Linked DNA regions of Callithrix jacchus. The protein of the gene in region 7 purifies or fractionates together with the protein of the main gene of each other region. This does not show direct contact. Links are inferred from orthologs where the notes say so. Each region holds a gene or a part of one and is shown on either strand. Other genes may lie near its edges.

Region 1 (3,500 bases), on a different chromosome or scaffold from region 7:
ATTTTTTTTTTTTCATTTGAGATGGAGTCTCTGTCACCCAGGCTGGAGTGCAGTGGAGCGATCTCAGCTCACTGCAACCTCTAGCTCCCAGATTCAAGTGATTCTCCTGCCTCAGCCTCCTGAGTAGCTGGGGTTACAGGCATGCACCACCACACCCAGTTAATTTTTGTATTTTTAGTTGAGACGGGGTTTCACCATGTCAGCCAGGCTGGTCTCGAACTCCTGACCTCCAGAAAGCCACCCCTCGGCCTCCCAAAGTGCTGGGATTACAGTAAGGTGAGAGCCACAGTGCCCAGCCAGGAATTCTTTAATCTGATAACCATACATTATCTGTTCCCTGCCTGTGGTCTGTGTATCTTCTCCCTGCCTGTGGCCTGTGGCTTGGTTTTTTAGTTTCCATTATGTGATATCTTTTGTTATATAGATGTTTTTAATGTTAGCATAGTTGAATTTATCACCTGTTTATGTCTTATGTATTTCATGTCTTCTATAAGAAGATACAGTGTCCAAGATCATAGAGATGGTCTTCTATATTTCCTTCATAAGCTTTAAGAAGTTTCGCTTTTCCTAATTAGATCTTTATCTAGAATGTGTTTTTGTATATTATATAAGGGATCTACTTTCATTTCATGTGGCTAGACTGTTGTCCCACAGCATTTATTAGCCACCAGCTTGTAATGCTCTGCTTCTCTCAAACCTGTCATTATAACTGAGTGTGAACCTGTCAAACTGGGGGCTGAGCAACCCTCAAGTCCTCAAAGCAGACCGTGAACAAAGGGCAGATTCTTTCACAATGTGACTATTGTGGAATGGAACCAACAGTACTGTGTATTCAAATGGCACCTCACTTATGGAAAAGAATACATTGGTCAGGCAGGTTGTTAACCTCCTGCTTTCTGGGTTGCAGTGAGTGCTGTCCTAGTCTGGAGGCAGTCCGCTTTATGGCACAACCAAACAGATGGTAAAATGAAATGTGGCAATATTTGCTGGCAACAAGCCATAATCTTAGTATGTTAACTTCGTCTTATTTTCTATGTTAAATGAGGAATGGCTCATTTATCTCTTTAGTTAGTTATTGTATTAGTTTTTAGAGTATGTTTGAAACCAGATTGTCATAAACCAGGGTTATAGAGCCAACCCCTAATATTTGGCAGTGAGAAGAACTTAGTGGTTTTCTAACAGTTTCAATACTTAAAGTTTTCTGTTGCCTGGGCACAGTAGCTCACGCCTGTAATCCCAGCTGGGAGGCCGGTGCAGGCAGATCACCTGAGCTCAGGAGTTCCAGACCAGCCTGCCTAACATGGTGAAACCCTGTCTCTACTAAAAATACAAAAAATTAACCAGGTGTGGTGGCATACACCTGTAATCTCAGCTACTCTGGAGGCTGAGGCAGGAGAATCTCTTGAACCCAGGAGGTAGAGGTTGTAGTGAGCAGAGATTAGGCCACTGCACCCCAGCCCAGGCAACAGAGCAAGACTCTGTCTCAAAAAAAAAAAAAAAAATGCTGTTGCCTGTCTTCATTTTCCTTTGTAGTTTTCACCTGGAATTTTGTACCTACCTTGGAATCACCTAGACCATCATTCCATAATCATTACATTGCTCTTAAATCAGGCAATAAAAATCTCTCTTATGTCGATATTAGCTTTAGTATGGTCTTTCTAATGATAATGATAATTTTTTACATGTATACTCTTTTTCCTTTAGCTCTATCAAACTTTAAAAGAGAATTTATTTGGCAAATTCATGTTCTAACTGTCCATAATATTTTTCTTGTTAAAATAAATTTGAAGAGAACCTAATTTAAAAGATTCTAAAAGATAAGAAAATGTTTTATTGCAATTTAATTGTATATTGTAGTATTTAAAGAAACTCACCTGAGATTTCTAAATTATATATGTGAGTTGTTTGTTTGGGTTAAATTTTTTTAACATTTCTTTTACTTTATTTCTGATTGATAGATACTTTAAAAGTCTGCCGAAAAGTTGATTGGAATATAAGTTTAATTGCAATGTTGGAAGTACTCAAATAATTATTAAAGTCATAGGAAATAATATGCAGATCCCAAACAGTGGATTCTTTAAAAGGACCCAAAGAGTTATATAAATACTATAAGAAGATAGCATATAAAGTTATTCTAGGAATCTCCAAAGAAAAGGCTCTAAAGAAATAGAAAACAAGGATAGATGGAATCCTTGGAGACCCAAAAGATACCACCTATAGGGCTGAGATTCTTTTTCTTTCTTCTTTTTTCTTTTTTTTTAGCCATGTCCTTGAGTTGCAGATTTTTTTAATTAATGCACAGGAGACAACAATAAACTAAATTGTAGATAAGATCAGATAAAGTAGCATAAATCTAATTAAACATTTCTAATCCTTAGTATTCTTGATAAACATAAGAGAGCATTGTCTCATATGTCTTGTCTCCCTTTCCTTCCGTCACCTCTTCCCCCACCCCAAATATTGGTTCTGTTATGATTTCTGCAAGGCAATTTACAGTTTGTTTCTGCTGAAAGCCATGTTCTTCCTCTATATAATACTGTAATTAGAGGTCTTAAAGAGAACTACAAGTTCTGTTCAAAACTCCATATGAACTTACTGTCATTGCCAGTGTGTCGCAGTCTCTGTTTACAGGAGTTTCAAAGTCACGTGTCTTTCAGAGCTGCCTTTCCTACAGATGCTTTCAGAGATCCTTATGTGCTAATGTGCATTGTGAGTATTCTCCAAGGGGAATAATAGTATGGTGTAGTGGTCGGAATTGATACAATTTTAGAAACATTAACGCTTTTTTAAAATGGAAGAAGCTATTTAGCTTTTTTCTTTAAGTCGTTTTTTTAGTGTTTGTCATTCAGATTTGAAGACTTGAAATAAAGAGCTTCCCCAAAGACTAGTTAACAGTTGATTCATTGACAAATGGGTAGAAAATCTAATTTTGAATTTTGTTTCATCTTTTTCAGATCTCAGTCATAGTGGATTGGCAGATCATTATGAAAATTCCCACTGGGGACAGCAGCCTACTTACAGAAGTGAAGCCAACTGCAGCTGGGATAAAGTGATAATAGATAGGACTGACAAGGAGGCGTGGCCTTCCATCACAGGAACAGAGACTGAATCTGCCTCAGAATGTACTACAGACACTGACTCTGCCTCCAACTGTGGCTCAGAGAACAGTAGCATGGCTACAGGGAGTGCCCAGGGCAACTTCACTGGACATACCAAGAAGACAAATGGCAATAATGGCACCAATGGCGCACTCGTCCAAAGCCCTTCTAATCAGAGTGCCCTTGGAGCAGGAGGAGCGAACAGTAATGGAAGTGCAGCCAGAGTGTGGGGTGTAGCCACAGGCTCCAGCTCTGGCCTGGCTCACTGCTCTATCAGTGGTGGGGATGGAAAAATGGACACCATGATTGGAGATGGGAGAAGTCAGAATTGCTGGGGTGCTTCCAACTCCAATGCTGGCATTAATCTTAACCTTAATCCTAATGCCAACCCAGCTGCCTGGC
Region 2 (3,500 bases), on a different chromosome or scaffold from region 7:
TGATGGCTCCCTTCTCCTTTCTTTCCTCCTTTTGTCCCTGCTCAGAGAGGGAGACTGGTGGCTGGCCCACTCGCTCAGCACGGGACAGACAGGCTACATCCCCAGCAACTACGTGGCACCCTCCGACTCCATCCAGGCTGAAGAGTAAGTACCGTCTCTGGCTGCCTCTGCCCGTCGTCCTGGGTGCTGCCCATGCAGAGCGCCTCTCCTGGGCTGCCCAGCGCCCCAGACGTATCTGAGGAGAGGTGTTGTGAGTGGCAGAAGCCTGGACCACCAACACCATCCTCTGTCTTCCCACCCCTAGGTGGTATTTTGGCAAGATCACCAGGCGGGAGTCAGAGCGGCTACTGCTCAACGCGGAGAACCCGAGGGGGACATTCCTAGTGCGGGAAAGTGAGACCACGAAAGGTATGCATGCTCCTGCTGGCCAGTGGACACTGAGTTTTCTGTGAGTGGTTTGGGCTAGGTGTTGCAGAATGAGCAGGAGTTGGGCTTGAGGAGTAGGGAGAGAGGGGCCTTCCAGAAGGAGGTAATCAAAGTCAGGGAGGTGCCTCTGAGGAACGCCAAGTAACCCACGATGGCCAGATGGCCAGAGAAAGATGAGGCTTAGCTCTCTGGCCTCAGTATCCTCAGATGAAAGCTGAGCATAGGTTGTCTGGAGATCTGAGTGTCACACGACAGCAGGCTCGTTCTCAGGGTAGGTGCTGCTGCAATGAGCCCCCCTTCTTCTCCTTCCCCGGGGTCACTGGGGCCCACACTGGGTGCTGGGGCCTGGCTTTGCCCTACCCCTCACCACAGTCCTGGTCCCTGCCCCTCTCCTGTCCCTCCCTCAAGCCAGAGAATGAAGACCAGCCCCTTTCTCTCCAGCCCCTCTGAAAGTGGGTTGCAGGCGCCTGTCACCATGGCAACCAGGCTGAGCTGCTTCCTGTGGGCCTGGGGCTCAGCGGGAGGTGGGGAGCAGAGCATCCATGTCGAGCTGAGCCGTGCATTTACAAGCGGTTGTGGGGCTGTGTGTGTGCATGCTGTGTGTACATCTGGGTGTGTGTGTGTGTGTGTGTGTGTGTGTGTGGATGTGGGGCAGAATTGTCTGTGTGTTGCCGTGTGGGAATGGACTGTTGTGGTTTGTCTGGTGCCTGAGGGCCTGGGGAGCGTGTATCTGTGTGAGCCTGTGGTTGCTGTGCCCGGCCATGCCTGTTCGTGTGTGCACATGTGGCCAGGGGTGGCTTCATCCTCAGGCCTGTGGTGTCTACATGCACTAGCCTGGCCATCGGTAGAAAGTCACAGTTGTCCAAGGCAGGCTTTGGTCCTCAGGTGTGGGTTTGAGCCCCAGCCCTGTATCTGGCTTGCTGGGGGACCCCAGGCTAGCCACTGTCCCTCTCTGGACCTCATTTCTTCTGTACACTGCGATTGTAACCTTTGCCTGAAGATTGCAGAGAGGGAGGTCCATGGGCTGCGACAGCTGGTCTTTCTCCCATGCCTGTATACCTCCTGGAGAGGCTCCCGAGAAGGCCCGTCCCTGGCCGCTGGAGCCTCCGCCCCACTTCCAGGGCTCAGCCTTGTTCCCTGATGCCTCTCGGGCGTCTCTTGGCCTCTCGTTCTACCCAGGCCTGCTGGATGGGAGGAAACTTTTGGGCCAAAAGCTTTTCTAGGCTCAAGGGAAAGAGGGGAGGCACCAGAGCTGGCCCCAATTGACTCAGGCAGGCCTCAGGCCATGCCCAGCCCGTGGTCTCTTGCCCACCATGGCCAAAGCCTCTGCAACCACCCCCTCTCGCCTGAACCTTGGCCTGCGTTCAGAAAGTGGGGGGAGCATGGACAGTGACCCTGTGGGCCCACCCAGAGAGGGAAAGCAGTTAGGCCAGGGCACACAGCCACGGGGAGCCACTCACAGGCTCCCAGCAAAGAGTTACTGAGTGCCTGCTGAGTACCAGGCCCTTTAATATGTGGATGCACTGAATCTTCCCAGCCACCCTGGGAGCACTCACGTTGTGCAGAGGGGAAACTGAGCCCAGAGAGGACTGGCCACCCCTCTAAGTCCCACAGCTAGATGTGCACTGGGATTTGAGGTCTTGCCGGGGCTAAGGGGGCGTGCAGGATGTTCCGGTCAAGTACCCCTTGGGTCTCTTGGTCCTACCTCTGTGGCTGCCCTGGGTCGGGCTGCTGAGAGACAGGGAGGGCTGGGGGCTCAACTGCCTGGGCCTCCCTTCCCTCTGGACTCAGGCACAGAATGGTGCCCTGTGGGGGAGAGGGCGTGGTGGTCACGGCTCCTCTCCCTGCCTGCAGGTGCCTACTGCCTCTCAGTGTCCGACTTCGACAACGCCAAGGGCCTCAACGTGAAGCACTACAAGATCCGCAAGCTGGACAGCGGCGGCTTCTATATTACCTCCCGCACCCAGTTCAACAGTCTGCAGCAGCTGGTGGCCTACTACTCCAGTGAGCGCAGCGGCCTCGGCCTCGGAGGGAGGGCGGCCAGGCAGGACCTCAGCTGCAGACCCCAGGGAGGGGCCTTGGAGCCTGGAAGGCCGCTCTTCTGTTAGCCTAAAAGGCCTGGTTTCCTGCTCCCCTCCCTACTTTTTCCTCCCCCTTCCCTTCCTCCCTCCTCCTTTTCTCTCCTTTCCTCTTTCTCTCCTTTCCCCACTGCCCCCCTCCACCCTGCCCCCCTCCTCTCTGTCCCCTCCTCCTTGTTCCCCTCTCTCCTGGCTCCACGCGCCATCCCACTCCCTGTCTTTTTCTGCAGCTGGCTGGTGGGAAGGGGGTTGCCCAGAGGAGCCCCAGAGAGCGGGAAGGGAGGGGACAGAGGCTAGTGTCGTTTGTCTCTGTAGCCCAGGACCGGTCTGAACTGGCTGCTGGGAGAGGAGGAGGGGGTGCCCAGATCAATTGTACAAAGAGCGAGAGAGCGGCAGAGGGAGCTCGTGGGGCTTGCATGCGGGTGAGGGCTTGGGTGTGGGCACTGCCGTGCTTTGACCCACCCACCTGGGCGTCTGGAGCTGACCGAGTGTCAGGGGCCTGTGGGTGCCCGTGGGCCCATGTGTCTGTGGCACGCTTGGCCTCTGTGTGCAGGTGTTGGTCTACTCCACACCCCCAGCCGCCTCTTCCTCTCAGCTGGGCCTCCTGACTTCCTCCCAATCATCCACCACTCTCTGTCCCTTAAGTCACCACTGTGTGCTTCGTTCTGAATCCCATTCCCTCAGATCAGAACCCTCCAGGGGCTGTCTTGGAATCTTGGATTAAAGACTCCTGCCGCCCCTGCACGGTCTAATCCCGACTGCCTTTCTGCCTCCGCTGGTGCTACCCTTCCTCCCCTCTCCCTGGCCTCTGCTTCTCCAGTCCTGCAGCTCTTCTTTTCTCAGAACCTTTGCTTTGGCTGTGGCCTGCCTAGAGGGCTCTTCCCTACTTAACCCCTCACTCTCCTGCCCATCCAAGTGCAGTTGCTGCTTCCTCGAGGAAGCCTCCCAGGACTCCTGCTGTTTCGAGAACAGCTCTCCTCCAGTCACATTCACATC
Region 3 (3,500 bases), on a different chromosome or scaffold from region 7:
TGGGATTACAGGTGTGAGCCACTGCCACCGCGCCCGGCCCAAGCCCTCTTAACTTTGGCTGTTCTGTATCCCTGGCTGAGTCAGCCTGTCCGTTTGTAGGAAAACGACATTTTCATGTTTTGGTTGTGATTGTGGTGAATCTGAAGATGAGGCTGCTGAGGATTGACAGCTCAGCAGTTTTGACTCTGAGTCATGTCTTCATTTTCTTCAGGTCTGTGATTCTTCATTGTTTTCATTTTGTCATACAGATCCTGCACACTTTTATGTTCTGCTACTGTCCTTTTCGTGCTGTTGCAAATGGCGCTTTTTCCCATTTCTGGTTGTTAGTGTGTGGAGGAGTGTTGTGAGTGTTGTATGCCCACCTCCGTGAGACTGCTCAATGAGGCCCACGTCTTAGTGCTAGGCACTCTTTTGTGGATTCTTACGTGATCAGTCACGTGGTCTGTGAACAGTTAGATTTCTCTCTGATCTGGAGCCTCGTATTTCTGTCTTTCTGTTGTTAGGTTGCATTAGACTGACTTTCTGTCTTTAGGTTTGGCCAGTCTTGCATTTCTGAGGTAACCCTGGGTTTGGTAGGTTGTCCTTTACCGTATTGCTAGATTGGATTTGCCTTTTGATTGGTTTTTGACTAATGCTGCTGTTGGTGGATGTGTCTGAAGAGCAGCAGAGTCTTTGGGTGGTATTTGGTGAAACCTGCACCTAAAATATAGCAAAGTTGTCATTTAATATTTTTCTGCCAGCACGTGTTTCTTTGGTGCTCTGGCTTGCGGGCCAGGTCTTGGGTCCGGAGAACAGCAGGAGCTCCCCTGGTGGATCTGAGTCACGTAGAGCAGCGCGTTGCACTGTGTCCCCTGGAGAAGTTGCCAGAGGCAGTGGTGTCCACAGGTCACAGTGTCCAGGGCCTTTTCAGGACCCTTCGTTTCTTGGTGCCACACGAGGGTGTCATGCTCTCCGAGGCCTCTGAGGACTGGTCTCTAACTGTAGCCTTGGGTGGCTTCCGTCCCTCTGAGTTGAGCTTGCTTGAGCCTGGGAGCGGCTGGTTTTGTGGGGCTGATCTGTAGCAGTCATGAGAGCAAAGGAAGCCTGGTCCAGGTGTGTGGGCTTGGTCTAGAAGTGGTTAGAAGAGCAGGAGCATAGTGTAGGCTCTCGGGTGGCTTGTTCCTGCTCTTCTGGGCACACCCCACTCTGCCCACACATCACCCAGTGCATTGCTCCCTCTGCCCCCTACAGATGAAAAGTGGCTTGGGGAAGCTTGCTCAGTGCTGCTTCCAAGTGGCAGGACCAGGGTCTAAGCCTGTGTGGTCATCAGCACCAGCATCTGATCGTTGTGGAAGAGAGGTGTGCGTGCAGTCTGTCTGTCGGATTCGGCGAGGCGTGCCAGCCCCATTTTGGGGGTGCTGCAACATCAGGGCACTGGTGACAGTGTAGGGGGCCCAGCACTGCTGTCCTCCAGGCCCTCTTGTCTCCTCACTGTGGCCCAGGCATGTGGTGTCTGACTAACAGAGTGGGGTTGCCTTCTGCAGCAAACCAAGAGTTTCACTGTTGACATCCGCGCCAAGCCGGAGTACCACAAATTCCTCATTGGCAAGGGGGGCGGCAAAATCCGCAAGGTGCGTGACAGCACTGGAGCACGCGTCATCTTCCCTGCGGCCGAGGACAAGGACCAGGACCTGATCACCATCATCGGAAAGGAGGACGCCGTCCGGGAGGCACAGAAGGAGCTGGAGGCCTTGATCCAAAACCTGGTAGGGAGCGGGCCTCGGCTGCCGGCTCTGCTGGGGCTGGGATGGGGTGGCTTATCTTCATCTCTTGTCAGGATAATGTGGTGGAAGACTACATGCTGGTGGACCCCAGGCACCACCGCCACTTCGTCATCCGAAGAGGCCAGGTCTTGCGGGAGATTGCTGAAGAGTACGGTGGCGTGATGGTCAGCTTCCCACGCTCTGGCACACAGAGCGACAAAGTCGCCCTCAAGGGCGCCAAGGACTGTGTGGAGGCAGCCAAGAGGCGCATTCAGGAGATCATTGAGGACCTGGTAGGCATTCGGGTGTTCGGGGAGGGGTCTAAGAGGAAAAAGAGAGACAGAGAAAATGGTCTGTGTAAGGGGTCAGAAAACATGGAAATGCAGTCTGTGTAAGGGGTCAGCTCTCTTGTCCCCTCTGTGAAGGAAAGAAAATCGACTGAGGGCATCCACGTGAATCCATGGGGAAGTCACGAGAAGATGTGTTTCTTTTCTAAAGCAGCCTTTAGAGAGTGTCCCCTCCATGCCCCTCTGGGCTGCTCCCCTGCCAGGGCCTGGATGCCTTTTCTCTGATAATCAAGTCTGATGCCTCCTCATAGAGTCAGAGGCCACCACAGAAGTTCCCACTCTTTTGGCTGAATCGGCCACCCTGCAGGGACACATTTCAGAAGGAGGCCCACCCTTACCCTGGCCAACATGGTAAAACGCCGTCTCTACTAAAAATACAAAAATTGGTTGGGCATGATGGCGTGCACCTGTAGTCCCAGGTACTCGAGAGGCTGAGGCAGGAGAATCACTTGAACCCAGGAGAGGCAGGTTGCAGTGAGCCAAGATCGCACCACTGCACTCCAGCCTGGCGACAGAAGGAGACTCCATCTCCAAACAAAAAAAAATGAGGCCGCCCACCCTCTTGGACATGCCCTAGTACCTTCCCTCCTCCCTGCACCTGGAGCCCTGGACTCACCTCAGAACGGAAGTGTCTGTACCGAGTGGCTGTGGTGGACAGGAAGGAAGTGCTGAGACTTCGTACAGGCCCCGAGGGATTTAACCTTTGCTCTTTCTTTTCTTTGTGTACCTCCCTCCAGGAAGCTCAGGTGACATTAGAATGTGCTATACCCCAGAAATTCCATCGATCTGTCATGGGCCCCAAAGGTTCCAGAATCCAGCAGATTACTCGGGATTTCAGTGTTCAAATTAAGTTCCCAGACAGAGAGGAGAACCCAGGTGGGTCCCCTTTAGTCATCTTCTGCTTGTCGATGGTGGTGCTTTTCACGTGAGAGGCAGAGCTGTCACACTTACTGGTGAGGCTCTTTCCTCTCTCTGCTGGAAAACCATCTGTGTATTCGGGGGGCTTCCAGAGGTTCAGGGTCATCCTCTGGGCTTTAAAAGATGGACCATGTCAGTTATTGACAGAGTGACCAGGTGCCCTTCATATGTCGGCAAGTTGCGAGGTGACGAGTAACGTGCCACCTCATCCTCGGGGCGCCCCAAGTTCAACCCCAGTATTTCTCATGACATGTTTGGATCACATGAACCCCATCAGAGAGCTTCCTTCTCCACACCTCCCGTCACTCTGGGGTGTCCCCTGTGAGGCAGGCAGCTGTAGCCTCTGGCCGGCCGGAGGGCACCATCCAAGTGACTGGCAGCTCTTGTAGGAGGGCATTTTGCTCCCAGTACCCTGCTTGCCCCCAGCTCTGCTCAGTCACCTGGTGGTGAGGAGGTGTGGGATGTGGTGGGCGGCCTCTCCCCGGCTTGCTCT
Region 4 (3,500 bases), on a different chromosome or scaffold from region 7:
GTATATGATTGAGTGCCCAGCTTTCCTGCTAGAAGATATCAATGTATCATATCCTTTAGATGCGGTAGGGTTGGGGAAAGGTGGAGAGCTACTGAACTCAAATTTTCTGCAGTTTAAAAAGGCTTCTTCTTTTTTTCTAGGTTGATTTGGAATCAAATCCACAGAACAGAAGTCCTGAATCACGTCCTAGTGTTGTTTATCCCAGTACCAAATTTCCTCGCAAAGATAATCTCAACCCAAGACACATAAATCTTCCTCTTCCTGCCCCCCATGCACAGTATGCAATCCCTAATCGCCATTTTCATCCCCTTCCGCAGCTACCAAGACCACCCTTTCCAATTCCACAGCAGCACACCTTGTTAAATCAGCAGCAGAATAATTTGCCTGAACAACCAAATCAAATACCACCTCAGCCAAATCAGGTAGTCCAGCAGCAAAGTCAGTTGAATCAGCAGCCTCAGCAGCCGCCTCCTCAGCTTTCTCCTGCATATCAGGCAGGACCCAGCAATGCTTTTTTTAATAATGCAGTTGCTCATCGGCCACAGTCTCCTCCTGCAGAGGCTGTGATTCCAGAGCAGCAGCCCCCTCCCATGCTGCAAGAAGGCCACAGTCCTCTGAAAGCCATTGCACAGCCTGGCCCCATTCTTCCTTCGCATCTGAATAGCTTCATTGATGAGAATCCCCCAGGATTACCTTTGGGGGAGGCTTTAGGTAAGTTCTCCAATTATGGCCAGTTGTGAAAATTCAGAGCTTACTTACTAAAATGACATAGACTGTACAATATCAGTTTGGGTTAGGATTGAATCATTTCTTCAAATAATGCTGGCACAAAACCCCCCATTTAGTGTGATAATCAGAATCTAGTTCTAAATGCTGTATGACAGTAAGTATCCAGTGGATGTCAGCATCATCATTATGTAAGTGAGGAAGAGTTGTCATCAATTGTCACCGTAACTCTGATTTCTGGCAAATTTGGAAAACATTTACTTTCTACCGAAACCAAATTGTAGCTATTGCTTTGTCTTTGTGGAGAAAGTATGTTTGTAAAACTTTTAAAAAATAACTTGAAACCCCAAATTCATAAAAAGAAATTCACAAATATTTTTGCAGATCGTATACATGGGAGTGTGGCTCTGGAAACATTAAGGCAGCAGCAGGCACGGTTACAGCAGTGGAGTGAGCACCATGCCTTCCTCAGTCAGGGCAGTGTTCCATTCTCGCACCACCACCATCCCCACCTCCAGCATCTTCCTCAGCCCCCCCTGGGATTACATCAGCCGCCAGTGAGGGCAGACTGGAAGGTCACCAGCAGTGCCGAAGATGAAGTGGAAACCACATACTCAAGGTATTCCAGCCGACTAAAAATAGCTTCTGGAATGTGACCCCCTCACTGTTTTCTTTTTTGAATGTAGTCCTTTTAGCTTCAAGTTGGAATATTGCCTCAGAGAAATTGGATGCTGGCCTTACAGCATATGCTACAAAGTTCTCTTGATTGACTCTAAAATACAGAAAACTCATTTAGAAGTAACTCTTTTACAAATGTAGGCATGGATGATCTACTGTGGGTTGTAAATTAACTTGTTCCCTTGCTTTGTGTTTTCTTCTGCAAGAGAAACATACTGTCACTGTGAGTGGGTTTTTTTTATTTGGTAGTAATGCTTGCAGAGAATGAATAAAGACAGGAGTAAATTCGTGGTTAAAAGCTAAAAATTGTTAATTATTTTTCTGGTGGCACAGAATTCTACCTTCCCATAATTCCAGTTACATCTGAGTATTCGGTCCTGACTCTAAGCTTGTTTTTATGGCCAGTGTCACATGAATGCTATGAAGTGTTTCCAGATCCCTTCTGAATAACCATCATTGTGACCTTTTATAACTTGTAGCTGTCAAAGACATGTAGAGACAAGGACAGATGTTTTTAATGCGGTGGAACCAGAAAGAAATTAGGTAATTGAGCATATTCAATGCCTTCACCTCGGCATCTGTTGAGTGTTAGTGCTTACATCTGAGATGAATTAATGTCAGTTCTAGTTGTTAGTGTACTATGATGTTTGTTGAAAATACACATGTAGTTGACTAAGCTTTCCTTAGTGTGATGGAGCCTTTTGTTTTCTCCTCGTATTTTGTTTTCATGTAGGTTTCAAGACTTAATCAGAGAACTGTCTCATCGTGATCAAAGTGAAACACGGGAACTAGCTGAAATGCCACCACCTCAATCAAGACTTTTGCAATATAGACAAGTACAGACTAGAAGCCCACCAGCAGTCCCGTCTCCCCCATCCAGTACAGACCACAGTAGCCACTTTTCTAACTTTAATGATAACAGCAGAGACATTGAAGTAGCCAGCAACCCAGCATTTCCACAGCGCCTCCCTCCCCAGATATTCAGCTCGCCTTTCTCGTTGCCATCTGAACACCTTGCCCCCCCTCCCTTGAAATACCTGGCACCTGATGGAGCGTGGACTTTTGCTAACTTGCAACAGAATCACCTAATGGGGCCAGGTTTTCCCTATGGCCTACCTCCATTGCCTCACAGGCCACCGCAGAACCCTTTTGTACAAATACAGAATCATCAACATGCTATTGGTCAAGAGCCATTTCACCCATTGTCATCTCGAACAGTATCTTCTTCTTCGCTCCCTAGCTTAGAAGAGGTAAATGTCTTCTTACTTTCCTTTTGGGATTAGTTGATTGTGGAAAATATCAGTGTTTATTGATTTGATAATAGGAATGCACAGATCTTATTGAATTTAATAGTGTATTAAAGATCATCATTTCTTGGGAATTATTTTAATTGCCACCCTCCTATTGCTATTTCAGAGTTTGTAAAATGGGCACTATTGTTGAAACATGAAGCTCCTTGGAAGTCTTTTATTGCTGTTTAAAGAATATTGAACATCTAAGGACTCTATTTATTCAAGCAGCTTTGTCTTTTTTAATCTGAGGAAGTAGCTTTTAGTGATTCATCTTTTTACTTTAGTTTACATGCGTTAATTATAAATTTGTTAATTAGAGCTTTCCAAAGATGCTGGCTTTTCAGCCGGCACCAGTTCCAAGTGTTGTGCTCCTTCTCCTGTCGCTCAGCCTAGTACTTTGTTAGAGACACAGTGGTACTCTGATTCCCAAATAGCAGAATCTGCAGATTTTTAACATAAAAGTGATTCTGCTAAACTAAGCATTTCAAAGTAAACTCAATTTTATTTTAAAACACTTAGATATTTCTAAAGAGCATCTTTATGGACTTTTATTGATATGAAAAACTTAGTAATTCCAGGTCATAAAACTCCCGAAGCAGCACCATGTGGTGTAGTCTATAAAAATATCTAGCTGATCCCATTAAATTTGCAGTGATTAAAGATAAGCATCTGTAGCTGGTTGTAGTCATATCAGTCAGAGACATCTTAAATCAGAATGAACATTTCTAATTTTAATATATGAAAAATATTTTTTTGATACTGGCTTCATTTTGGCAGTTTCAGAATGATTTCTAAAGGCCATTA
Region 5 (4,086 bases), on a different chromosome or scaffold from region 7:
CGCCTGTAATCCAAGCACTTTGGAGGCCAAGGTGGGCAGATCACCTGAGATCGGGAGTTCAAGACCAGCCTGACCAACATAGTGAAACCCCGTCTTTATAAAAAAAGAAAAAATTATAATTTTAAAAATTAATTTTGTCTTTATTGTATTTCATTTGAATTAATGGCAGAACATTAATGAAGAGGCTATTCAGACTAAGTGTTATCACTAGTAGCATATATATATATATATATTTTTTTTTTTTTGGAGGCAGAGTCTTGCTCTGTCACCGAGGCTGGAGTGCAGTGGCTCCATCTCTGCTCACTGCAACCTCCGCCTACCGGGTTCAAGCAATTCTCTGCCTCAGCCTCCGCCACCATGCCCAGCTAATTTTTGTATTTTCAGTAGAGACAGGGGTTTCATCATCTTGGCCAGGCTGGTTTTGAACTCCTGACCTCGTGATCCACCCGCCTCGGTCTTCCAAAGTACCGGGATTACAGGCACCAGCCATGTTGCTGGGTCTATTGGGAGTATATTAAGCAGAGATATGGGTAACTAATTCAAGTAAGCCCGGGGCAAAGTTCTTTAAAGGTGTGTTTAAGGGAGCCAGGTGGGGTGGCTCACGCCTATAATCTCAGCACTTTGGGAGGCCTAGGTGGGCAGATCACTAGGTCAGGAGATCGAGACCATCCTGGGCAACATGGTGAAACACTGTCTTTAAGAAAAGTTTAAAAAAAGAAGGTGTGCTTAAGGGAAACCCAACCTCCTAGAGGGCTCCTTCAACTGTGAAATGGGAATGATAATAGTAGTATTTATTGCATAAAATTGTTTTAAGATTAATTAACATAAAATGCTTAGTATAGTGCCAAACGCAATGTAAGCATTTAATATACAGCAGTACGGTAGAGGCTAATAATATATTAACTACTCTCATAGTTTTTTTTTTTCTTGTCTACTTTTTTTCTGTTCAGTGCACTTTGACAAAGTCGTATTTTTAAAATCAAATCTAGATTTTGAACTATGAAAACTGCGGAATTATGAGTGCTGTGTAGCTATCTGGCAAGTGATAAAATATATCATTAAGATTTTTACACATCTCCGTGCCACAGAATGGCGTCTCCTTCTAATCGTCCCCCACCGCGGACAGATGATAGTACCTCCCACACTGCTGCTGGAAAAGATAGTGCAAAAGTTGAGCGCGCCGAGAGATCTCTTTTCTCCCGGAAACAATTTTTCCCTAGACCCGGAAGCAGTTGTTGTTTTAAGGGCGGTGAAACTGGGCGGGTCGGGCCGCAGCGGCTGACGGCGGGGGAGGAGCCGGGTCCACTGCCGGGTGGAGGGGCAAGGCGAGTGTGTGTCCTTATCCTAGCAATTGGGGCGCGGGCCTGTGAGCCAGTTGGAGTTGCGGCGGCGGGAACGATTGGGCCGAGCGGAGGACGACATGTTGCTTTTCGTGGAGGTGAGTGGGTTTGCTAGTCTCGTCCTGCCCTTAGGAGAGCAGGAGTGTGGAGGCGCCGGCCGGTCCCACCGCCATGTGACTTTGCGGGCCGTACACGCCGCGGAACCGGCAGACAGGCTGACACAGCACCTGGGCCGAGCAGGCCTGCAGCTCCCCTCTGCGCGCTCACCACACTCTAGGAAGCTGTGGGAGGTGAGGCCCGTCGTGGAGGAGAATTGAAGGAGAAGAACGGAGGGCTGGTCTGGTGTGGCGTGAGGATCAGAGGAAGGGGAGAGTGTCCCATATGGATCTCCTAAAGGAGGCAGCACAGGGGGTTGGGGGCGGAGTCTGAGGGAGGAGAGGGTAATCAGGTGGGCACGTTCCGGGGGCCGAGTGCGGCTTCGCGGGGCCCTCTGGGAGGGAGGCGAGCAACATGTGGGGACGCGGAGGGAGGAAGGTGAAATGCGGTAAGTGTTTTGGAAATAAAATTGAAAACTTCCTTTGAGCCACCTCCACCAAATTCTGTCCGGGCCAGGTCCCTAGGTCTCTGGAACATTCTATGGGTGAAAGCGAGTTACTTTGAGTCGAGGAAAAGCCAATAGAAGACTTGAAAGGCACCGCTTTGACCTTTTGTAAAAGTTACTCAAGAAGCAGCTGCGTGATGAGGGGTTGGTTCTATGAGCCGATTAAAAGCCCTTTACAGGGAAAATTGCAAGAATGAGAGAAATTTCTTCCGGGAAAAGCCGTTTTTGTAATGTTATTTGAACCACGAGATACTTTTATTACTTTAACTAGAACGTCTGCTGTCGGCCTATTTTAGTTTTCAAGATAGAGTTGGATACCTGCCTTACAGAAATACGAAATTTAATTTTCCTTAATTCTGTTCTCTTGTGTGCAGTGAGCGTCAGCTGACTGCCTGGCTAATGCTTTGAGTAGATTCCAGATCATATTGTTCTTACATTGTGAAAACGTAAAACCAGCAAAGCTGCAACTTCGCAGCTTGGCATTAGTTAACTATGCCCATAAAAAGAATCATTTCAATGAGGGAAGAAATTTACAGGTTGTATAATGGATCTAGGAGCCGGGGTCAGCTTATGGCAGACTTTTTTTTTTTCCGGGTTGTGGGAAAATCTTACTTCGTAATATTTCAACGTAAAGTTAAGTAAATGATTTTACGGTTTTTTTTTCTTTAACTTTGTGTCGCCGATAAGTTTGAGAAATTTAAATTAGTTTTTAAAAAGACTACTACCTTAGAGTATATCTAACATAACATTCATTGGAACATTCTAGGGAAATCATGAAAAGATTTAAAATTACTAAAACTCATTCTGTTTACTGTTTTTTGTCCTCATTGTTGTTTTCCTTAGGCAGAATAAGAAATCAGATAAGATTTTTAGCCATGCCAGCCAGTTTGTTTTAGGACTGTTATGCTATGCAGATACCACAGGTATTTGTGTATGCGTTTTGCTGGGCAGACAAAAGATTGTGAAGTTTATACAGACAGGAATTCCACGACAAACTTTTGACTTACAAATTGATTCCTTTGGCTTTACTAAAATGTAGGTTTTAATAGCCTCCATTTGTTATTTACGCTAGGGCCTGTCCTGTCTCTAAAACAATATTTACAATGTTTTACAGATGACAAAACTAAGGCCCAGAGGTTAAAGTAACTTTACTTAGTAAAAGTAAAGTAGTGTAACTGGGATTTGGATCCAGGCCATGCTGATGTCAAATCATGGACAGGCTGTTAGCAATTCAGGCCTGTTCAACTCCCCAGTTTAGACAAACTATACCATATGTCTTGCCAAACTATTATTTAAAGTTGTATCTCATTTTCTTTGTGAATCATTATGTCATTCTTATATGAGTTTTATTGAAAATTAACTGTCTTTAAATATTTGGGGCTGAATATGTGGTATCAGTCAAAAACAACATGTTGGTCATTTGGTGTTGTGTTAACTATTATTTGATCTCTATAACCTCATGATAGAGGAATTGTTCTCAGTGAGAGAACCAAAGCTCAGAAATTAGATGTCTAAGGTCATTCAAGTGTAAATAATGTAGGGACTAAAGTCTGAAGTCTGGCTTCTAGTACATAAATTTCTGGCTCCAAAATTATTTTTGCATTTTCCTGTAAGTCAAAGGTTCTTAATCTAGGTTTTTGGATAGAATTGAGGAAGTACCTGAGGTTGGTTGAGGAAAATATTTGCCTATTTTCACTAACTGCTAACTGAAACCTAAATGGAAACAAAGTGAAAATTCTTTAAATGTCAATGGCAGCAACAGTGTCTGTGACATTGTCACCAGGATAAATCACTTTTTTTCATATATTATAGTTTTTGCAGATATCTTGAAATATTCATGCTCGGTACTTGCTGTATGTAAAAATAATATTTACTATATTGCTATATTAGACATTTTAAAATATTTTGGCAACTGTGTTTCAATATAATTTGCTTACTTTGTGATTCTCTATATTTTAGAAATTTAAAAAAACTCTGAGAAGAGATCCATAGATTAATTGGACTACTAAAGAGTTCTGTGTCACAAAGGAGGTTAAGAGCGGTTTTACTAAACCAGCTTGCTTATGGATCATCTTTACCAGGGTTAATCTGAGATCTGTGGGTCCTCTGCAGTTGTGTTCAATACCTTTTACTTATGTGCATTTT
Region 6 (3,500 bases), on a different chromosome or scaffold from region 7:
TTAGCCAGCCTGGTCTCAAACTCCTGAACTCGTGATTCACCTGCCTCGGCCTCTCAAAGTGCTGGGATTATAGGCGTGAGCTCGGCCTAGAATGCTATTTTTAAAAATTACACATTACTTCTGATTTCGCACAGGTAGTTCAGGCACAAGATAATAAATTCAAAAAGCACAAAAGGTGATATGGTGAAAAATATTTCTCCCTCCCATTCATATTCCCCCATCACCACTGTTCTGTTTTTTTGGGTAGGTATGCTATTTTATAGAAATATGCTGAAGAATAAATGTTATTTTTATAATAACTATTAATTTTAGAATCAATGTGCGTCAAATTAGTTTTTCAATGCTGCTACAGAATTTTATTCTGAGGTACTTTGTATTTTCATTAATGTCTCAGTTTCCATGATATTGCTGTATTATTATCTTAAAATATCTTTAGAAAGGAAGAAAGGTATTTTTAGAAATCTAAGATATTATATTTAGAATCAGTCCTGTTTTTAAAACATATTCAAACAAAACTCTAAATTCAGAGATAGATACTTTCTGTAACTTACATTTTCCATTCTTGCTGTATTCTTTCTCCCACATACTACTTCGTCATGTTTGGTGGTGATATCTTTTCCTTTTCCAATAAAGCCCTTTTTGGGAGTGGGAACCGGTTTTGCTAAAGGCATTAAAACAAGCCAGGTATATAAAAATAGCAAAGACTATATTGCTGCATTCAATGTTGTCTGAAAAGCCATTTGAATCTAAGAGTAAATTACCAAATGAGATTCAAAGAAAAATAGAAAACTAAAAGAGTTCATTGGAAAAATTAGTCTTCCTATACCTCTATTCTGCTGCCCCCAGAAAATAAAAGCTTTGGTACCTGGTCTGTAGGGATCATCACGAGTATCCTGCCAGTCAACCTCATCTTCAGAGCTATCGCTGTCTTCATAAGGATGCACTTTTCGATAATTTTCAAAGGAAATGGAAACTTAAAAAGCAAAAATAGTTGAAAATTTACTTAGGAGCACATTATGAGTGTTTTCTACACTCAATGGAGTTGTCACAATAAGGTTATAGTACCTTTGCTATCTCCATTGAATTTTTTTTCTTCACGCCTAAGCTGTGCGTCATATTCTCTGTCAAATTCCATCTGTAGCATCTGAGCCAGCATAAGGTCACTGGAAGTATCAATGTTTTCTCCAGTAATAAATGGTCCTTCAGCAACACTATTCAAAATAAGGCAATATATACTAATATAATGTGCTTAAGTTAACAGAGGTTGCCAATTATGAGAGTAAGAGCTGCCTTTTCCACGTTAAAATTGAACAATGGGAAAGAACTCTACCAAACCATCATCTTCTCCTGCACAGCTAGCCTTAAGACCAATGGCATGCACCTGTGGGAGTACCAACTTGGATTAAGAGAGCTGGGAGAGAAAGCTAAAGGTTCTATAATAAAATCCAAACTGAGATCTAGAATTCATTTGTTCTGAATGAAAGTCTGGATGTTTCATTTATCCATAATGAAAGAACAGATACATATTCATGAAAATATAAACTATAAACACTTGATTAAATCTGTACCTCATCTAGTTCAACTGTGGCATTAACATGAAATAACCAAAACCCACAGAAACAGTGGTTTGTCCAAGATAACAGTGAAAACCAATGCAGACTCTGGACCAAAATTCAAATATCAGTGGACTCTCAGCATGGTGCTTTCTTCTGTGCTGCTTTTTCCTAACCACTTGTCATGACAATTACTCATCAGATCCTAAAAGTTTGCTATAATAAGTTGCTACATAAAGTGTTTTGTGAATTTTACTTACGCAACTTCAGGAAAAACAGCAGCTTCTTCTTCTAACTGCAATTCTTTGGCCAGCTGTTCACTCATTACATCAGCCAAAGAACAAGATATTGTATTTTGAGGGATAGCCCACGGACACTATTAAAAGTGAAAAAAGAACAGCTCAATTAATCATAATGAAATATAGTACCTCTCATTTTACAAAGAAGGTTATCTTTGAGAATTAAACTATGTAGTTAAAAACCAAAAATGAACAATTAGCTCTTTGCAGAAATCGTCTCAAAAGGAAAAATATCTCCCAGGTCAAATTTATTCAAGGATAAATATAAACTAAAACATCCCAAAGCACTTTCTAGCCTGCTAAGAGGGTATATCCTTAAAGCTGAGGGGAAGCATCATGTTTTTATAGCATCCCCCCAGCAGCCAATACGTTAATGTAATTCCTCTTGTTCCAATTCCTTGCTCACCAAGCTACTTTCTGTTTATAATCTGATTTCCCAAGTAGATTGTCTTACAGGAGTAGACTATACCAACTAGCACGATTTGAAGCCTAATGAAAAGTTATATCTCATTTTAATGCTGAGCCATCGAAGTATACAAATTATGTCAGCCCTTCTCAAGACATCTTAGAATGTGCTAAAAACAAAAACAGGCCAGGCGTGGTGGCTCAGGCCTGTAATCCTAGCATTTCGGGAGGCCAACACAGGCAGATCACTGAGGTCAGGAGTTCTAGATCAGCCTGGCCAACATGGTGAAACCCCATATCTACCAAAAATACAAAAAAATTAGCTGGGTGTGGTGGTGCGTGCCTGTAGTCCCAGTTACTCAGGAGACTGAGGCATGAGAATCACCCTAGCAGGTTAAGGTTGCAGTGAGCCAAGATTACGCCACTGCACTCCAGCCTGGGTGACAGAGTGAGACCCCCTGCCATACATATACACACAAAAAGCAAGAACAATCAACAAAAATTTTAGTTTTTATTTTATCTCTTTCCTTTTTTTTGGAGACAGAGTCTCCTCTGTCACCCAGGCTGAAGTGCTGTGGTGTGATCTTGGCTCACTGCAACCTCCATCTTCCCAGGTTTAAGCAAATCTCCTGCCTTAGCCTCCTGAGTAGTTGGGATTACAGGTGTGAGCTACCATGTCCACTAATTTTTGTATTTTTAGTACAGATAGGGTTTTGCCATGTTGTCCAGGCTGGTATCGAATTCCTAACCTCAGGTGATCTGCCTGCCTCAGCCTTCCAAAATCCTGGGATTACAGGTGTGAGCCACCATACCCAGCCCTAAAATTTTATTTCTGAACTTTAGAAGCTGAGAAACAGGCTCTTAAAACAATACCAACACAGCACAGTAATATTCTCTCAGATCCAGCTGGCCTTCCTCAGTGACATACCACTGCCTCAGCTTTCTTGAAATCAAACTGTAGGTTTATTTCAAATTCATAATTTTTGAGGGAGCAAGATGCTTTCCCCAGCAGCAGCAAATGATTATATTTTATAGCCTAGTGATTAAGACCTTTAATATTAAGATGTCTAAGCATCTCCTGAACTTGCCCAGTTCTTTCCATCCCTCTTCCATAATTCTACTCCAAGGTATCCCATTCACTGGGTTACTTTCAGCGCATCCTAACGAATCCTTCTGCTCTCAATCTTGCTAGTGTCCATTCTCCACACCATAACACAATTGTTCTAAAATGCAGATGTGATTA
Region 7 (4,259 bases):
TTTACTCTGCCAGACGTTGTTCAGGGCATTTTACATTTGCTTCTTTATTTTCCACGCAACCATGTAATGTAGATACTAATATTATTTCCAATCTCATTTCACAGATAAATGGAAGTCGATAGATATTTCAAAAGGTATATACTTACGTATAATGCCCCCTTTATTTTGCATAGGTGTTGGTGGCTGCTATCATCCCGATCGGTGCCCCTGTTTGAAACTACTTGAATAGACACGCTGCCAATACTGTCTCTTATAGTCAGAGATGTGTGAGAATGGAAGGTATTACTTATTTACATTCCTGCAGTTGAGCGGAAAGCAGAAGAACAGCTAGGTACCCATGTCCCACCACTTCCCTGTCTGGGGCAGCACATCTTTCAGGGCTCACCTGAACCCCCAGACCCCTGGGCTTTTGGGTGTGGTGGCTGGGCTCAGAAAGAGCTTTCCACTAGGCATCCCCAGAAGTCAGAAATTTAAGGTCCTCCTTTGGGCATTTCCATTTCTGTGAGAGGTTCCCGCGTTTTGGCCTAGGCAGGAACAGATTGGCACTCTAGCAACACACAGGCCAACTTTTACTTTATTGTTTTAATATGTATGTATTTATTTGAGATGAAATGCCTAGGCTGGAGTACAGTGGCACGATCGCGGCTGATCGTAACCTCTGCCTCCCAGGTTCAAGGGATTTTCCTGCCTCAGCCTCCCAAATAGCTGGGATTACAGGCGCATGCCACCCCGCCTGGCTAATTTATTTATTTATTTGTTTGGTAAAGAGGTTGCATCATGTTAGCAGGCTAGTCTCGAACTTCTGACCTCAAGTGATCCACCCTCCTCGTCCTCCCAAAGTGGCTATGATTACCGGCATGAGCCACCATGCCTGCCCCAAACAGACCAATTTTTACTTCATCCAGAGTAATCCTCTCCTGCCTTAGTCCAGCGTGGACTAGGACTTACTGTGCATCAGAACAAAAACTTCTTGGGAGAACAGCCCTTGCGGGAGCACAGTTTTAAAGTTTATTTAGTTAATTTTTAAAACTTTAATACTATACTTTTAAAATTGCCTATCGCTACCCAAGAGAGTGAACTCAAAATTAAGCTCACCCGTGGTGAGTTCGCCCCTTCCGCGCACCAAGTGGAACAGGCGGAGCTCGGGCATGCCACACAGGGGCGGGGAAGCCGCTAGGCGGTCCTCATGGGAATGTGCCGTACATATAACCTCTTTCCCTTCACTTTCTACAGCACCCTTGAGAAGCCGATTTAAACACTTAAGTGTGCTTGTTTCAGAATGTATTTGTACAGCGCTTCCAGATTATGTTGTACGGAAGAGGGGACTGTGATGCGGTGCAATTTCCCTTCGCCTTTTGCAATACAGGGCGCCGCCATCTTGAACAGAGGCGTAGGAAAGGGCTCGCCATTTTGTTTGGTCGTGCGGGTATTTCCGGTTCCGGAGGGGGGTCGGCTCGCTCTCTTCCACGCAAGGCGGCGGCGGGAGAAGCTGTGGTGCTGTTTTCTCTGAACCATCCAGTGCCATCCTCGTCGGTGCAGTGGTACACGCGCTCTCCGCCGCCATGACTGAGCAGATGACTCTTCGTGGCACCCTCAAGGGCCACAACGGCTGGGTAACACAGATTGCTACTACTCCTCAGTTCCCGGACATGATCCTATCCGCCTCTCGAGGTACGGAGTAAGGTAGCTTGCAGGGCTAGGGGATTCGGCGTGTCGCGTGACAGCCCAGTGCCGCGCGACTTGGCGGGGACTGGCAGACTTTTCTACCCCACTGTGAGTTGGGGGTTGCAGACCCGAGCCTTGGCCTCAGCCCGGGCGAATCACTTCGCAGATGAGGACCTAGAGGTAGATCAGCTCGTAGCTGCTAGGAGGGCTGGAGAGTTGGGAACTTTTAAAATATTTTTTGCCTTCCCTTTCCTAATGTGGCCAGGGGGCCTACGGGCTGGACGGGGCGGTGATGATTCCAACATGCCATCTGAGTATCGGTGCTGAAATCCAGAGGCTGTTTCTGAGCTACCGCCCGGCCCAAGGCTCTTGGAGAGACGGGTGGACTCCAGAAGACTTCGTGGCTCAAGTCTCGGCCTACCCTTTTTCCCGTGGTTCTCCCCGTCCCCATCCCTATGTGCCTGACTGCATTTAGATGCTTCTTAAGCATTCCGTTCGCTCCTACACTATTAAGAATTGTCTGACTCTTGAATCATGCTTGTCTGTTAATAGTAAAATTTGTTGAGTGGAACCGGTTTCAGTAAAAGCATCCAATCCTGTAGTGCTTAAAGAGACTTTTCCAGCATTCGTTACTACGTTTCTGTCGGCCCTCAGAGGTAGGCATAGGAGGCCCCCAGCTACTCAGCAGCCACAGACTGCTGTGCGTTCGGTTGCAGAGAAGACCCGTCTCAGGAAAGGGGTGTCTATAATTTCTGGCACCTGGATTAAGTTTTCAGGATACAGGCTGAGGCGGGTGGATCACTTGAGGTCAGGAGTTCAAGACCAGCCTGGCCAACCTTGTCTATAGTTTAAAAATAAAAAAAAAAATAGTGGGACATGCTGGCGGGCACCTGTGATCCCAGCTACGGAGGCTGAGGCAGGAGAATCGCTTGAACCCAGGAGGTGGAGGTTGTGGTGAGCCGAGATCACTGGACTCCGACCTGGGCACAGGAAAAAAAAAAAAAAAAAGCCGGGTGAGGTGGCTCACACCTGTAATCCCAGCACTTTGGGAGGCTGAGGTGAGTGGATTGCCTGAGGTCAGGAGTTTGAGACCAACCTGGCCAACGTAGTGAAACCCTGTCTCTACTAAAAATACAAAAAGTTAGCGGGATGTGGTGGGTGCCTGTAATCCCAGCTACTAGGGAAGCTGAGGCAGGAGAATTGCTTCAACCCAGGAGGTGGAGGTTGCAGTAAGCTGGGATCCTGAGATCATGCCATTGCACTCCAGCCTGGGCAACAACAGTGAAACTTCATCCAAAAAAAAACGTTATCGGGGTACAGTTTAGCTCTACCTGCGTTTTTATTCTGGAATAGAGCCACTCAATCCTGGCCTAGTAACTGGTCTTGTAGCCTGCTGTTCTCATCCCTCCTTAAGTGTCCTTAGTTGTTAACCCACTGATGACCTTGACACTTAGTGAAATATCCAGTGTGTTAAGAAACGGGCTGCGGGTTCCTCACTGATTTCTCTGTTTTACCTCCTTTAGACAAGACCATCATCATGTGGAAACTGACCAGGGATGAGACCAACTATGGAATTCCACAGCGTGCTCTGCGAGGTCACTCCCACTTTGTTAGTGATGTGGTTATCTCCTCAGATGGCCAGTTTGCCCTCTCAGGCTCCTGGGATGGAACCCTGCGCCTCTGGGATCTCACAACGCAAGTAGCTGCTCACTTAGCTCTGGGGCATTGGGAAAAATCTGGGCAGAAATGAGGTGGATGCAATTGTCTGGTTTCCCAGGGGAGATACAGTCCATTTGGGAACTGGAAAGCAGAGCACACCTACAAAAGATGTTTGGTGGCCTCGCTCACTCAGTACTCAGCATTCTGAGGAGTTTGGTTGAACGTTTTTGCCAGGTGCAACAGTTTTGAGTAGACAACAGTTTGAACATGTTTTGCCTTGAAAGCTCAGCTAATTGGCAGAGGGAATTAGAGGGTCCTGGTGATGACAGACGACATTGTCAGCCAATCCCTATGGGGGAGTGAGGACATGTCCTGCAATTCTGACGGGATTCTCTGTCATATACTCAGTCAAGGGCTTGCTGTGATCAGAGCCATGTCCAGGGTTGTGTGAATGATGCAATGAGATAGAGACAAGACCTAGTATAGGAAATAAGTCTGACTGTTGAATGAGAATGTTTGCTAAGTCTGAGAATGACAAAGCCCTCCTTCTCAGGGGCACCACCACGAGGCGATTTGTGGGCCATACCAAGGATGTGCTGAGTGTGGCGTTCTCCTCTGACAACCGGCAGATTGTCTCTGGATCTCGAGATAAAACCATCAAGCTATGGAATACCCTGGGTGTGTGCAAATACACTGTCCAGGTAAAGTGAGGGCACGGTCAGAGCATGTGTCTACGGTTCTCTCCCACCCTTGTCTGGGCTCGGCTCATGCTTGTAATCCTGACCCTTTGGTAGTCCAAGGTGGGAGGTTTGCTTGAGGACAGGAGAGCAGCCTGGCCAACATACTGAGACCCCCATCTCTGAATTTTGTGTCTACTTTTTGTTGTTGTTGTTGTTCTGAGGCGAAGTTTCACTTGTTGCCCAGGCTGGGGCGCA

Evidence for each region.
Region 1: the proteins of RACK1 (region 7) and TNRC6C purify together in Homo sapiens (affinity purification with mass spectrometry; 3 studies listed by BioGRID and IntAct, counting the BioPlex papers as one, with this or other methods). This does not show direct contact. The link is inferred for Callithrix jacchus from reciprocal best matches to the Homo sapiens genes RACK1 and TNRC6C.
Region 2: the proteins of RACK1 (region 7) and SRC purify together in Homo sapiens (affinity purification with western blotting; 4 studies listed by BioGRID, with this or other methods). This does not show direct contact. The link is inferred for Callithrix jacchus from reciprocal best matches to the Homo sapiens genes RACK1 and SRC.
Region 3: the proteins of RACK1 (region 7) and HDLBP purify together in Homo sapiens (affinity purification with mass spectrometry; 3 studies listed by BioGRID and IntAct, with this or other methods). This does not show direct contact. The link is inferred for Callithrix jacchus from reciprocal best matches to the Homo sapiens genes RACK1 and HDLBP.
Region 4: the proteins of RACK1 (region 7) and HELZ purify together in Homo sapiens (affinity purification with mass spectrometry; 3 studies listed by BioGRID and IntAct, counting the BioPlex papers as one, with this or other methods). This does not show direct contact. The link is inferred for Callithrix jacchus from reciprocal best matches to the Homo sapiens genes RACK1 and HELZ.
Region 5: the proteins of RACK1 (region 7) and LARP4 purify together in Homo sapiens (affinity purification with mass spectrometry; 3 studies listed by BioGRID and IntAct, counting the BioPlex papers as one, with this or other methods). This does not show direct contact. The link is inferred for Callithrix jacchus from reciprocal best matches to the Homo sapiens genes RACK1 and LARP4.
Region 6: the proteins of RACK1 (region 7) and RIOK3 purify together in Homo sapiens (affinity purification with mass spectrometry; 3 studies listed by BioGRID and IntAct, counting the BioPlex papers as one, with this or other methods). This does not show direct contact. The link is inferred for Callithrix jacchus from reciprocal best matches to the Homo sapiens genes RACK1 and RIOK3.

The regions. Positions count from the first base shown.
Region 1 is NC_133506.1:133,834,958-133,838,457, forward strand, and holds part of TNRC6C (trinucleotide repeat-containing gene 6C protein), read left to right. Parts: intron 1-2,954; coding exon 2,955-3,500. UniProt on the Homo sapiens protein: Plays a role in RNA-mediated gene silencing by micro-RNAs (miRNAs). Required for miRNA-dependent translational repression of complementary mRNAs by argonaute family proteins.
Region 2 is NC_133506.1:32,832,217-32,835,716, forward strand, and holds part of SRC (proto-oncogene tyrosine-protein kinase Src), read left to right. Parts: intron 1-45; coding exon 46-144; intron 145-304; coding exon 305-408; intron 409-2,280; coding exon 2,281-2,430; intron 2,431-3,500. UniProt on the Homo sapiens protein: Non-receptor protein tyrosine kinase which is activated following engagement of many different classes of cellular receptors including immune response receptors, integrins and other adhesion receptors, receptor protein tyrosine kinases, G protein-coupled receptors as well as cytokine receptors.
Region 3 is NC_133507.1:162,508,499-162,511,998, reverse strand, and holds part of HDLBP (vigilin), read left to right. Parts: intron 1-1,523; coding exon 1,524-1,745; intron 1,746-1,816; coding exon 1,817-2,035; intron 2,036-2,826; coding exon 2,827-2,965; intron 2,966-3,500. UniProt on the Homo sapiens protein: Appears to play a role in cell sterol metabolism. It may function to protect cells from over-accumulation of cholesterol.
Region 4 is NC_133506.1:122,191,352-122,194,851, forward strand, and holds part of HELZ (putative helicase with zinc finger domain), read left to right. Parts: intron 1-140; coding exon 141-711; intron 712-1,110; coding exon 1,111-1,345; intron 1,346-2,137; coding exon 2,138-2,654; intron 2,655-3,500. UniProt on the Homo sapiens protein: May act as a helicase that plays a role in RNA metabolism in multiple tissues and organs within the developing embryo.
Region 5 is NC_133510.1:69,174,757-69,178,842, reverse strand, and holds the start of LARP4 (la-related protein 4), read left to right. Parts: upstream 1-1,286; 5' UTR 1,287-1,420; coding exon 1,421-1,630; intron 1,631-1,808; exon of another isoform or gene 1,809-1,884; intron 1,885-4,086. UniProt on the Homo sapiens protein: RNA binding protein that binds to the poly-A tract of mRNA molecules. Associates with the 40S ribosomal subunit and with polysomes. Plays a role in the regulation of mRNA translation.
Region 6 is NC_133514.1:66,559,388-66,562,887, reverse strand, and holds part of RIOK3 (serine/threonine-protein kinase RIO3), read right to left. Parts: intron 1,930-3,500; coding exon 1,814-1,929; intron 1,212-1,813; coding exon 1,066-1,211; intron 974-1,065; coding exon 866-973; intron 662-865; coding exon 552-661; intron 1-551.
Region 7 is NC_133503.1:73,608,094-73,612,352, forward strand, and holds the start of RACK1 (small ribosomal subunit protein RACK1), read left to right. Parts: upstream 1-1,459; 5' UTR 1,460-1,562; coding exon 1,563-1,671; intron 1,672-1,948; exon of another isoform or gene 1,949-2,016; intron 2,017-3,188; coding exon 3,189-3,360; intron 3,361-3,636; exon of another isoform or gene 3,637-3,715; intron 3,716-3,877; coding exon 3,878-4,025; intron 4,026-4,259. UniProt on the Homo sapiens protein: Scaffolding protein involved in the recruitment, assembly and/or regulation of a variety of signaling molecules. Interacts with a wide variety of proteins and plays a role in many cellular processes.